Linked DNA regions of Mus musculus. Each later gene encodes a partner of the first gene's protein in a complex. Links are inferred from orthologs where the notes say so. Each region holds a gene or a part of one and is shown on either strand. Other genes may lie near its edges.

Region 1 (5,496 bases):
GGGCTGTCTGCAGATACTGCAGCATGAAGTACCAGAGCTGGGCAGGCGTGTCCAGTAGCAGGAACTGGAAGCCAGCGGAAGTGATGCAGGGTGGCTCTCCAGGTTCAGTGCTAGACACAGAGCGGGCTGATGGTGGCAGCTTGCAAAGGCTGCACTGAGTCCATCTTACACACACTTAGGCCCCTCCTCTCAGCCAGCTCTCTCCAGTTCCTCCTAACCCCAGACACCCATTTTATATGAGACCCAAGGAGATGGCCGAGCGGAGAGCTGCCGTGCTCTGCCCTCCTTACCTTTTCATAAGCCCGGCCTGGCTGAGGAGCTGAGCCAGGTCTTGGCTGACAGCTGCACTGGGGGAGCCCACCATGAAGTGCAAGACCACCTAGAGACGAAAAGGGTCAGGAGCCTGGGGTCTCGAGGGTTACAGGGAACCGGAGCACAGTGGAGGCCGGTTCCTCGGCTCCCAGGGGGAACGGGCGCACAGCAGAGGCACACTCCTCACCTCCCAGCGCTCCTCAGCATACTTGTCCAGTGAGGGGACGTCCCGGGCATGCTTGTCTGGTCCCAGCTGACTTGTGTCATCAGACCAGGCCTTGCCCCTGTGGCCAGGATACACAGGAGTAAGGAACCCTGTCTGCTTCCTGCATCCCTAGGTCTTTACCCTCATCCCAAGGGCTACAAGAAAAGGACATTTTCTGCACCCTACATCCACACCTGGTCCAATGTATTCTTGAAGGAGCATTCCAAGGGGTGGGGGTGGGGATGGGGAGAGGCTCTGGGGAGGCCTCTCAGGAGATTCTCCCCCACCAGTGTAATAAGCAGTTCCCCTTGCCTAGCTCAGGAAGGGAGGGAAATGACGTACCCACCCAGAAGGGCAATTCGGAGGTTCTGGCGGAAGACGGGGTTCAAGATGAGGCCTTGGAGTCCACCAGGGAGCAGCTGGGTATGCCAGATACGGAGGCCACTCAGCAGCCCCGTACTTTCCTCCTGAGCCCTGGACAGAAGCAGAGTTGAGTGGGGTATCACCAATAGCAAGGAGACCTCCAGGGAGCTTCATCTATCTCCTCTGAACGGGAGGCCCTTGGAACAGTGTCGCAGGGCGAAGCTGTGTTTCTCACCTCAGATACCTGCACTGCAATGCTAAGGAGAACCTAGTTCGTTTTGATTGTTGTTGGTTTCTCTGTTTTGTTTTCTAAGTCAATTCTTTTTTTTTTTTTTTTCCTTTTCATTTGTTTTGTTTCAGGAAGGGTCCTATGAAGCCTGGGACAGCCTCAAACTTACAATACATCAAACTTACGATATAATCCTTGAATCTCTGGTTCCCTATCTCTACCTATCAACTTGGGGTTGGGGGAGTGCGGGGGCGGCTTTTTCCCCTTTGTCTTTTTGTTTGTTTGTTTGTTTTGTTCTAGTTAGCATACAGCTAAAGAGACACAACTCTCCACAGTGGAAACCTCTGCAGGTGTATTCTGGAGGGTTTTCCTTGTGTAGGGCAGGCTCTGTTGAAAGGCCCACATCTGATTCCCCTAGCTCCTCTGTGTGTGCACCCTGCAAGTGTTCCAAACAAAAGTCCTTTGAGAAATGTGGCTGTTGGGAAGCTCGAAGCAGCTGCGCCCGCCCGGGACTCACTTGCTGAACTCCTTCTTCACCCACAGGGCCACCGCAGCCTGTGGTAGCGGCTGCTCCAGAAAGAGCATCCTCATGACCCAGTTCTTAGCCAAAGAGGGGAGCTCCCTGTAAGGTTCAGAGGCCAAATGTTATCAGAAGCCACCTCACACCTGCATCTCTGCCCTCATCTGCCTGTGGTTTAAAAAAAACAAACATCCCAACTGCTCAGAGAGGCAGAGAAAGCACCCAGCTGACCTTTTTTTCTCCAATGACATCCCAGAAAGAAAAAGCTCCCTCTCCGAGAATTCTCCACACTGTCTTAAATTCCCTTCAACTCAACGTTGCTAATTTCTGTTTACTTGGTTGCTCCATCTCTTGACCTACGGTTGACATTAGCCCTTGGCTAAAAAAAAGGTGTGTGCTTAGGGCTGAGCCACAATAACAAGGTTTTTCTGGTTCATAATCTTGGAGTTCACTATGTGATCAAATACCCTGCAACCTCTGTCTCTCAAACGTCTCATGCCATCTCCCACGTCCTTAGCAGTCCCACTGTCCCCACAACCTCTTTCTGGTTTGGACTGACACACTTTGGAGTAATGTCTAACACCCTGGTACTCACGCTGGGCTAATAAGCCTCTCCCCGTGCTAACTAATTTCAGTCTGCAGGCCCCATTACATTCTCCAAACATCCCCTTTGCTCTGAAGGCTCCTCACCTGAAGACAGCCAGACAAGTGGCAGGGTGCCCATACAATCGGTCCAGCACCCCAGGGCTCAGGCCTCCTAAGAACTCCTGGAGATTCCTGCATTGTAGGTGTGCTCGGTTCAGTCCACCCCTCGCCGGGGTGATCTCCATCACCTGAGAGGGACAAATGTCAGAACTCCCACATGACCCAGGCCTATATCACTGACTCCAGATCTATTAGGTTCACTTTCTGTACTTTCCTGTCTGATGCCACTTATCACCTATTCCTCCCAAACCCCTCGTGTCCTGCTTCTTTTCTTCATTATGCAGCTCACAATGGCCTTGAATTTGCTATGGAGCCAAGGATGGATTTGAACCCCTGATCCATCTGCCTTTACTTCCCAAGTGGCCACCAGGCTTTTCATCCCATATCTGCCCTTGAAGTTCAGCCTTTGTTCAGTCTCCAGGAGGTGGAATTAGTCTCATTTTTGTGTATGGTCCTGAGGATCAAATCCAGATCCTCACCGGTGTGGACTGAATTACTTATCGTTTCATACTTGCGAGTGTTTTGCATATCAATGACATCTCAAGTTCACCTAAGCATTGACAAAGATACTTATTTGAGCCCAGGCTTCTCTCTCTTGTCCACCCTCCTGGTCAGATCAGTCCAAATGGGTCAAATCCTTAGCTCTCATCTGGGGACACGGCTATAAACTGCCTCATGCTTACCAACCTAAATCCCTTTCTATCCCTTTCCCTCCAGCCAGCCTTACCCCTCTCACTGAGACCCACGCCTCTGAGCTCCTCACATCTCCCCGACTTTCCTTTCACTCCGCTTCTCGCTCAACTCTCTCCCTTACCCTTCTCAAACCCCCTCACCACTCGGCTCCCCCTCGCGCACCCCGGGTCACCAGCCGTCGCCTAATCAGTGCTAATGTCTCGCATTGGCTCCTGGAAATAAAGGATGAGAATTCTAAAAGGTGGGAGAACCACGAAGAACTTCACAGACAGGACCCAGTCAATAAGCAGTCCAAAGAGAAGGGAGAGCAGAGAAATGTGTCAAGAGTAAAGGGGGTTAGAATAGGCAATGCACTCGCCTGTCGCAAGGCATCTTGGGAATTGTAGTCCTCTTCTAGCCTACATTGGAGACTATGAGTCAGGCTCTGACTACAAATCCCTAAAGGCACCGCAAGAAGGCCGGCCGAGAAAAGGTGGCTTTTCATTGGGATTCCCTAGAAACATCCGAAGTCAGACCTTTTGATTCCGCGCCTCTCTCCCCTATACAGCAAGGTGAATCTCTTGTCAGATCAGGAGGAGGCAGCAAACCTGGAGGAGCTCCGGGGCCTCCTATCGGAGACGTACTAAAGCAGCTTAGTGGTGTTATGTTAGATGTAGAGACCTCAAACTGGGTTTCTTTCTTTCTTTCTTTCTTTCTTTCTTTCTTTCTTCCTTCTTCTTATTTTTTTTTTAGGTTTTTCGAGACAGGGTTTCTCTGTATAGCTCTGGCTGTCCTGGAACTCACTTTGTAGACCAGGCTAGCCTCGAACTCAGAACTCCGCCTGCCTCTGCCTCCCGAGTGCTGGGATTAAAGGCGTGCGCCACCACACCCGGCGACAAACTGGGTTTCTTGACCTCTGTTGTTCCTCACGAAACTGAGATAATGATCAGTGCAGAACATCTTCACATGACGTGGATCAACACAATTGCCCTCATTTGGAGCTCAATCAATCAAAATGTCTATGTGAAGTCAGATTCCCTGGAACTGGAATTACATACAGCAGTGAGCTGTTATGTTAGTGCTAGGAATTGAACTTGGGCCCTTTGGAAGGACAGCCATCTCTCCACCATCCTCCCACCTGCTCACTCAATCTTAATCTCTTCCAACTCCCTGGGGAGTTAGAAGATTACATTGCAATTTTTAAGAGAAAGCTATCATTTGCCCTGATTTGATTTATGAATTTATCCTAGGCAAGACAAGGGAAAGGGAAAATGACATCAACTAAGGTCATCTGTAGGGTCTCCAATTCTTATGGGGGCAAATTCTGTTATTCTTACATCACAGGCTATCAAGCTCAACAAGAATAAGAGATCTGAGCCGGGTGTGGTGGCGCACGCCTTTAATCCCAGCACTTGGGAGGCAGAGGCAGGCAGATTTCTGACTTCCAGGCCAGCCTGGTCTACAAAGTGAGTTCCAGGACAGCCAGGACTATACGGAGAAACCCTGTCTCGAAAAAAACCAAAAACAAACAAACAAACAAACAAACAAACAAAAACAGAATAAGAGATCTGCACAAGAAAGTCCCAGTACCGAGATGAGAAACACATTTACCAAGGGCAAAAATGGTAAGGCCATGTAAGGACTTGATTATGCTTTACTATGTATTTTAAGGAAAATCACTGGCTGGTGAGATGGCTCAGTGGGTAAAGGCTTTGCTATGTTGTGACCTGAAGAGAGGGGGAGAGATATCCAACTTCCATGCCCATGCCATGGCGATGTGAATCCCAGCCTTCACCGTCCTGCACTCACATACCATAATAATAAAAGTCATCTTTTAAAAATTAGAGTAGTCTGACGTTATCTTGGTTGTAATATTAGAATAAACCTTTAACCATATCCTGACCTAGGCCCTATATTGGAACACCAGCCCCTCCCCCTCACTGCCGTTACCAAGCTCTCAGCCGAGGCCGGTCAGTATCTAAAGATAAAATGGCCTTTTCTCCAGGAGGGAGAAATTGAAGGCTTGCACATAGCCCCAGAATCGGCATTTAACTTCCCATTCCTCAAACCTCCTATATAAACCCAAGTACCCCCCTCCTTTTGGCAGATGCTACTTTAACGCTGTGTCTGAAAAAAACCGTCCGGTCAGTTGAAGTCAGTCTCCATTTTCCTTTCTGCCCCCTGTCCCTTTAAGCTGCTTCAGAAATCTAACAGAAATAAAATGCCTGTAACTCCAGCTCCAGGGGGAGGGATCCAATGCCCTCTTCTGGCCTCTGTAGCACCTGGACACATCTGTGCATATACATAACTTAAAAATAATAATCTTCTTTAAGAAGAAAAGAAGCTAAAAGAACAAAAGCAACTGATTAAAGAAACAACCAGCCGGGTGTGGTGGCACACACCTTTAATCCCAGCACTCGGGAGGCAGAGGCAGGCAGATATCTGAGTTCAAGGCCAGCCTGGTCTACAAAGTGAGTTCCAGGACAGCCA
Region 2 (4,712 bases), on another chromosome or scaffold:
ACTTGGAAAAAGCCAGGAAAAAAAAGAAAAGACGAGACAAGACAAGACGAGATGAGACAAGACCATGCCTTAATAAAAATTACAAAACAAGAAATGAGACAGAGCTGAGGCTGTCACTCAGCGACAGAGCACTGTCTAAGCTCTAGATTCAATCCTCAGTACAAAAATGTTTAAGTAGGTAAAGCAAAGCACAAAGGAAAAGCCCAGACATCACATACCCAGCATTAGCATACCTGTCCTCCTCTGGCCAGCATGCTAACCCATATAGTACTGGTGGGTCGGGAAGAATTCTCCAGGCATGAGCGACATTCTCCTGTATAGGCATACTTGGAATCCTTTTTGGCAAACACATAGACTGTGTTTGTTGCCATTTTCTCTTGAGCTATCAGAACCTATAGAAACAGTAAGAAAATTACAGCCAAGAAACAAAAAAGGTCATTGAAATGGCAAGAAGTAAAACCTCCATGGTTATTTAGTCTGGTCATATAGGCTTATACTTCACAGAAATATACAAGCTATAACCGCTGGCAAATTTCTAATGAACATTATACACAATTTCATAAAGTTTTCATTTACAAAAGTTTATGTATCACACCTTAAATAACTCAACTGTCACTTTCAGATTATCTGTAGGAATGCATACTTTCCATTTTATAAAAATTCATTTTAGAGTGTGTGTGTGTGTATGGTAGCCATGGAGGCCAGAAGAGGGCATCAAGCACCCTGGAAGTGGAGCTACAAGTGACAATGCCACTCCCTGTGGTGATACTGGGAGCCAAATTCGAACCCTCAGCAGGAGTAGCATGTGGTCTTATGTCCTGAACCATCTCCAGACCTGAGAATGCACACCTTTTAATTTTACTTTAGTAATTTCAATGTTAACTATCTTTTTAGTGTGCTTTAAATACCACTATACCTTTTCTGATCCATTGATAATAAAATAGCCACCGGGATCCAAAGGACACTCATTCAGCTCACACAGGTCACGATCTGTTAAGCCATTTAACAGGCAGTAGGTGGAGCGCAGCATAATTGGAATTTTCCCTATGAACGTTTTCTGGTGCTGAGTCTGCAGCTGTTCTTCACCTTCTTTAATGACTGTCTTTGTTATGTCAACGTAAAGCGGAGCAGAATACCTGCAAATAGAAGTGGGTCAGAACTGGCCAGAAGTTATTTGCTAAAATAACTACTTAAGTTGTTTGTTTGTTTGTTTGTTTGTTTTAATTCAGTATCAGATGCTAACAAAGGAAAAAAAAAAGGTCTCTCTTACGTGAGATTTCTTAACCTGGCTTCATTTGGCATCATTGGCGAAGGGGCACCATCTCTTTCCCAATGAGTAGGTTTGGAGAGGTAAATTTGTTCAAACTTCAGTAAATATCTTGGCTGAAATTAAACAAAAGCATAATAAGTTTGGAAAGCCAGGTTTTTACTGTACATTTGTAACCTCAGCACTCAGAAGGCCAAGGTGGGAGAATCATGAGTTTAAAGCCAGACTAGGCAATATAGCAAAACCTTGCCCCAAAATACACATTGAAGTAGTAATTACTCCATCTTAATTGACATTAGCATTTTAAGTAGAAGCAACTCTACAACCTAACAAAACCTAACCAATTTTACTGACATGAGGATGCTCTAAAGTTAAAATCCACATTACAGTGATGTGGTTTGTCCTACATTATATTATACATAACTACTATTGTATTATTATTTATATTAGTATTTTATACAATATACTTGTTATACCAATATAATTATTATATAAGTTTAAATAATATATATTGATAATATATTTTTTTAAACCAGGCATGGTCATGCACACCTTTAATCCCAGCATTCAGATGGCAGGGTCAGGTAGATTTTTGTGAGTTTGAAGCCAGCCTAGTCTACAAAAGAAATTCCAGGACACCCAGAGCTATATAAAGAAAATGTCTCAAAAATAAATGAATAAATGATTTTGATTATCTCTATTTCTAGGTAATGGATATATTATCTTTGAAAGTAAATGCCACATGTGTAGGTCCCTAAGGAAGCCAGAAGAAGGTGTGAGACCCTCACAGGAGCCCTAGGAACCAAACTCAGAACTTTCATCTCTTATATCTGAGGAGGCCTTTTTCACTGGGAATGGGGGAGCTGAGACAGACTCCCTCAGCTCAAGATGGCCTCACTGTGCAGCTTTACTACACATCCAAGGCAGGCCTTCTACTGGAGCCTCATGCCTGCGTCTCTCACATGCTGAGATCCCTCCCAGGCATACAGCACCTTGTCTGGCCCAAACAGTCATTATTTACCACATATGTCATCTGCTCTAAATTTATTTCAAAAAATCAAAACTGTGTTCCCCAACCCCACTGCCCCTCAGCTCCCGCCGGCCGTCCCCGCCAGGCATTTTACTTATGTTTTACATCCTGAGAAAGGAACCCAAGAACTTTCTCCCGTGTATTCATCCTGCTTCTGCAGGGACCACGATGCCAGCTGAGGTTGTCAATACACTGACACCAAACTGACGGGATGGGAGCAAACTATCCTGCTATTTTAATAAAACTTAGTGCTGCTCAAATCTGGGGCTAACCACTACACATTTATCTTTCCTGCCTGTATGGTGCACAATAATTTTTCCAGTTCTAAAATCATCAGTGATTTCAAATTCTCCAATGTAACTACATTTCATCATGACAGACAGAAACTGGACTATGGCCTGGCATTGGTACCACGCACCTTTAATCCCAGCACGTAGAAAGCAGAGGCAGGTGGATCTCTGAGTTCCAGGCCAGCCTGGTCTACAGAGTGAGTTCCAGGATAGCCAGGGCTATACAGAGAAACCGTGCCAAAAAGAAAAGAAAAGAAAAGAAAAGAAAAGAAAAGAGAAGAGAAGAGAGGGGAGGGGAGGGGGGAGGGGGGAGGGGAAGGGAGGGGAGGGGGAGGGAACAAAACAAAACTGGGTCATGTGTGACTCTGGCACTTGCTCTTGAAAACATCAGCCAGGACATTTATGTGCACCATGATGGCCATGTGCAAGCGCAGAGAGACAGCAGAAATCAAGATGATCCTTATTAATGATCTATACACTTACATGTGCGCTCTCACTGGTGAGGATGGAAAGTACAAAGTGTCCAAAGGGGGCGGAGAACAGGGAGGAGATAAAGTTAAGCCTAACTCTTCAATTATATCTACATGTTTAATTGTTTGTTTGTTTTCAAGACAGGGTTTCTCTGTGTAGCCCTTGCTATCCTGGAACTCACTCTGTAGATCAGACTGGCTTCAAACTGAGAAATCCACCTGCCTCTGCCTCCCAAGTGCTGGGATTAAAGACATACGCCACCACTGCCCTGCTATATCTACTTTTAAAACCCAAATCTTTCTATAAAAAAAGGCTTCCAGTCTGACTGACCATCAATGAAACTCTTCTGTGAGGCCTGAAGATTTAGCTCACGGTAGAACACTTGCCTGGCCTACGTGAAGTCCCATCCATGATTCCCATTATCACAAAAAACAAACAAGTTTTTAAACATGTATCTGCTGCCTGATAAAGCAATCCATGAGAAGAACTATTCTGACAGAAATAGACACAGGATTTCTCTCTATTATCAAATCTTAGAGATAACTAAGCAGATCATTTATGAAGGAAAACTACTCCCAAGCCAGAGTAGAGGGAACAGTAGAGCTGTCAGCGAACCAAGGGACAAGTCACCCTCTTTCCCACCATCACCTTAGACATTATCTTACGCCTAAGCTGCTCCAAGACTCTCAATCATCTCTAGACCCTTTCTACTTCAAGTAGAACCATTTACCTTTCTAAATGCGTATGTTAGACATATCCTTTGGCAATCCTTCAACAAATTCTCCAGAGCCTTTGATAAGCTGGCTCCATCTTACCTTCACCCAATGCTCTCACAACCAGATACATCCAATTTCATATGCTGCTTACTGTGGGCCCCACCCACTTCTCAAGCTAAGTACATCAACTACTTTCTTTTTCAAAGACCTAAGCCACCTCTTCTGAGGAAAGCCATCCCTACCTTGACTGCCAGCTCAAGTTCCCCATCTTCCTACATCAGCTGAGCTTTAGAAACAGCTTCTTCCTGCAGTGTTCACCACACTGGCCCTCTGAATTGACTTTTAACTCTTCACTTATGCAAAGATCATGACGAGAAAATAACTTGGGAGACTTAAAAAAACACATTATGGTCCTTTTTCAAGTACAATCCCTGAAAAGCCAATTTACTTTTGCTTTTAAGCAAAATTCTGTGCAGCAGCTTCAATTAGAATGAGAGTAATAGACCAGATCTCAGGATACAATTTAGAAAAAAAAGGACTTGACCGGCTAGAGATAATAACCTTTCTTCCTCTAGCTCTTCTCTGGCTGACCCTACCTCATGTTGTTTTGCAGTTTCCTTGTTTCTCAGAGACCAAGATGCTACTGTAGCTGCCTCTCTCTATTTCTCTGCAAACGGAACACTCAGTAACTATTTTGGACTTCTGTGAATCACTTATTTAAAAAACTGTAAAATTATACAGTAATAGATCTGGTCTATTACTCTCCTTGCTATAATTTAAAAACCACATGTGTTTGAATTAAAAATCAGCAAAAAAGCTAAACGAGCTATTATGCCTAATTTCCCTTTTTGACCTCAGATTTTAATGATGTATTCCATACAATGCAATAAAGAAAAATCAAGAGTCTGGGCAATCCACAAGAAGGCCAGTCAAAAGGA

What was found. The genes of interacting proteins can lie anywhere in the genome.
Region 2: Gtf2h4 (region 1) and Polr2b share a complex: the UniProt entries of both Homo sapiens proteins name them as parts of the TBP-based Pol II pre-initiation complex. The link is inferred for Mus musculus from reciprocal best matches to the Homo sapiens genes GTF2H4 and POLR2B.

Annotation. Positions count from the first base shown.
Region 1 is NC_000083.6:35,670,367-35,675,862, forward strand, and holds the start of Gtf2h4 (general transcription factor IIH subunit 4), read right to left. Parts: upstream 3,378-5,496; 5' UTR 3,190-3,377; exon of another isoform or gene 3,149-3,189; intron 2,463-3,148; 5' UTR 2,460-2,462; coding exon 2,320-2,459; intron 1,732-2,319; coding exon 1,627-1,731; intron 992-1,626; coding exon 860-991; intron 597-859; coding exon 500-596; intron 380-499; coding exon 291-379; intron 111-290; coding exon 1-110. UniProt on the Homo sapiens protein: Component of the general transcription and DNA repair factor IIH (TFIIH) core complex, which is involved in general and transcription-coupled nucleotide excision repair (NER) of damaged DNA and, when complexed to CAK, in RNA transcription by RNA polymerase II.
Region 2 is NC_000071.6:77,316,635-77,321,346, reverse strand, and holds part of Polr2b (DNA-directed RNA polymerase II subunit RPB2), read right to left. Parts: intron 1,384-4,712; coding exon 1,271-1,383; intron 1,137-1,270; coding exon 917-1,136; intron 393-916; coding exon 234-392; intron 1-233. UniProt on the Homo sapiens protein: Catalytic core component of RNA polymerase II (Pol II), a DNA-dependent RNA polymerase which synthesizes mRNA precursors and many functional non-coding RNAs using the four ribonucleoside triphosphates as substrates.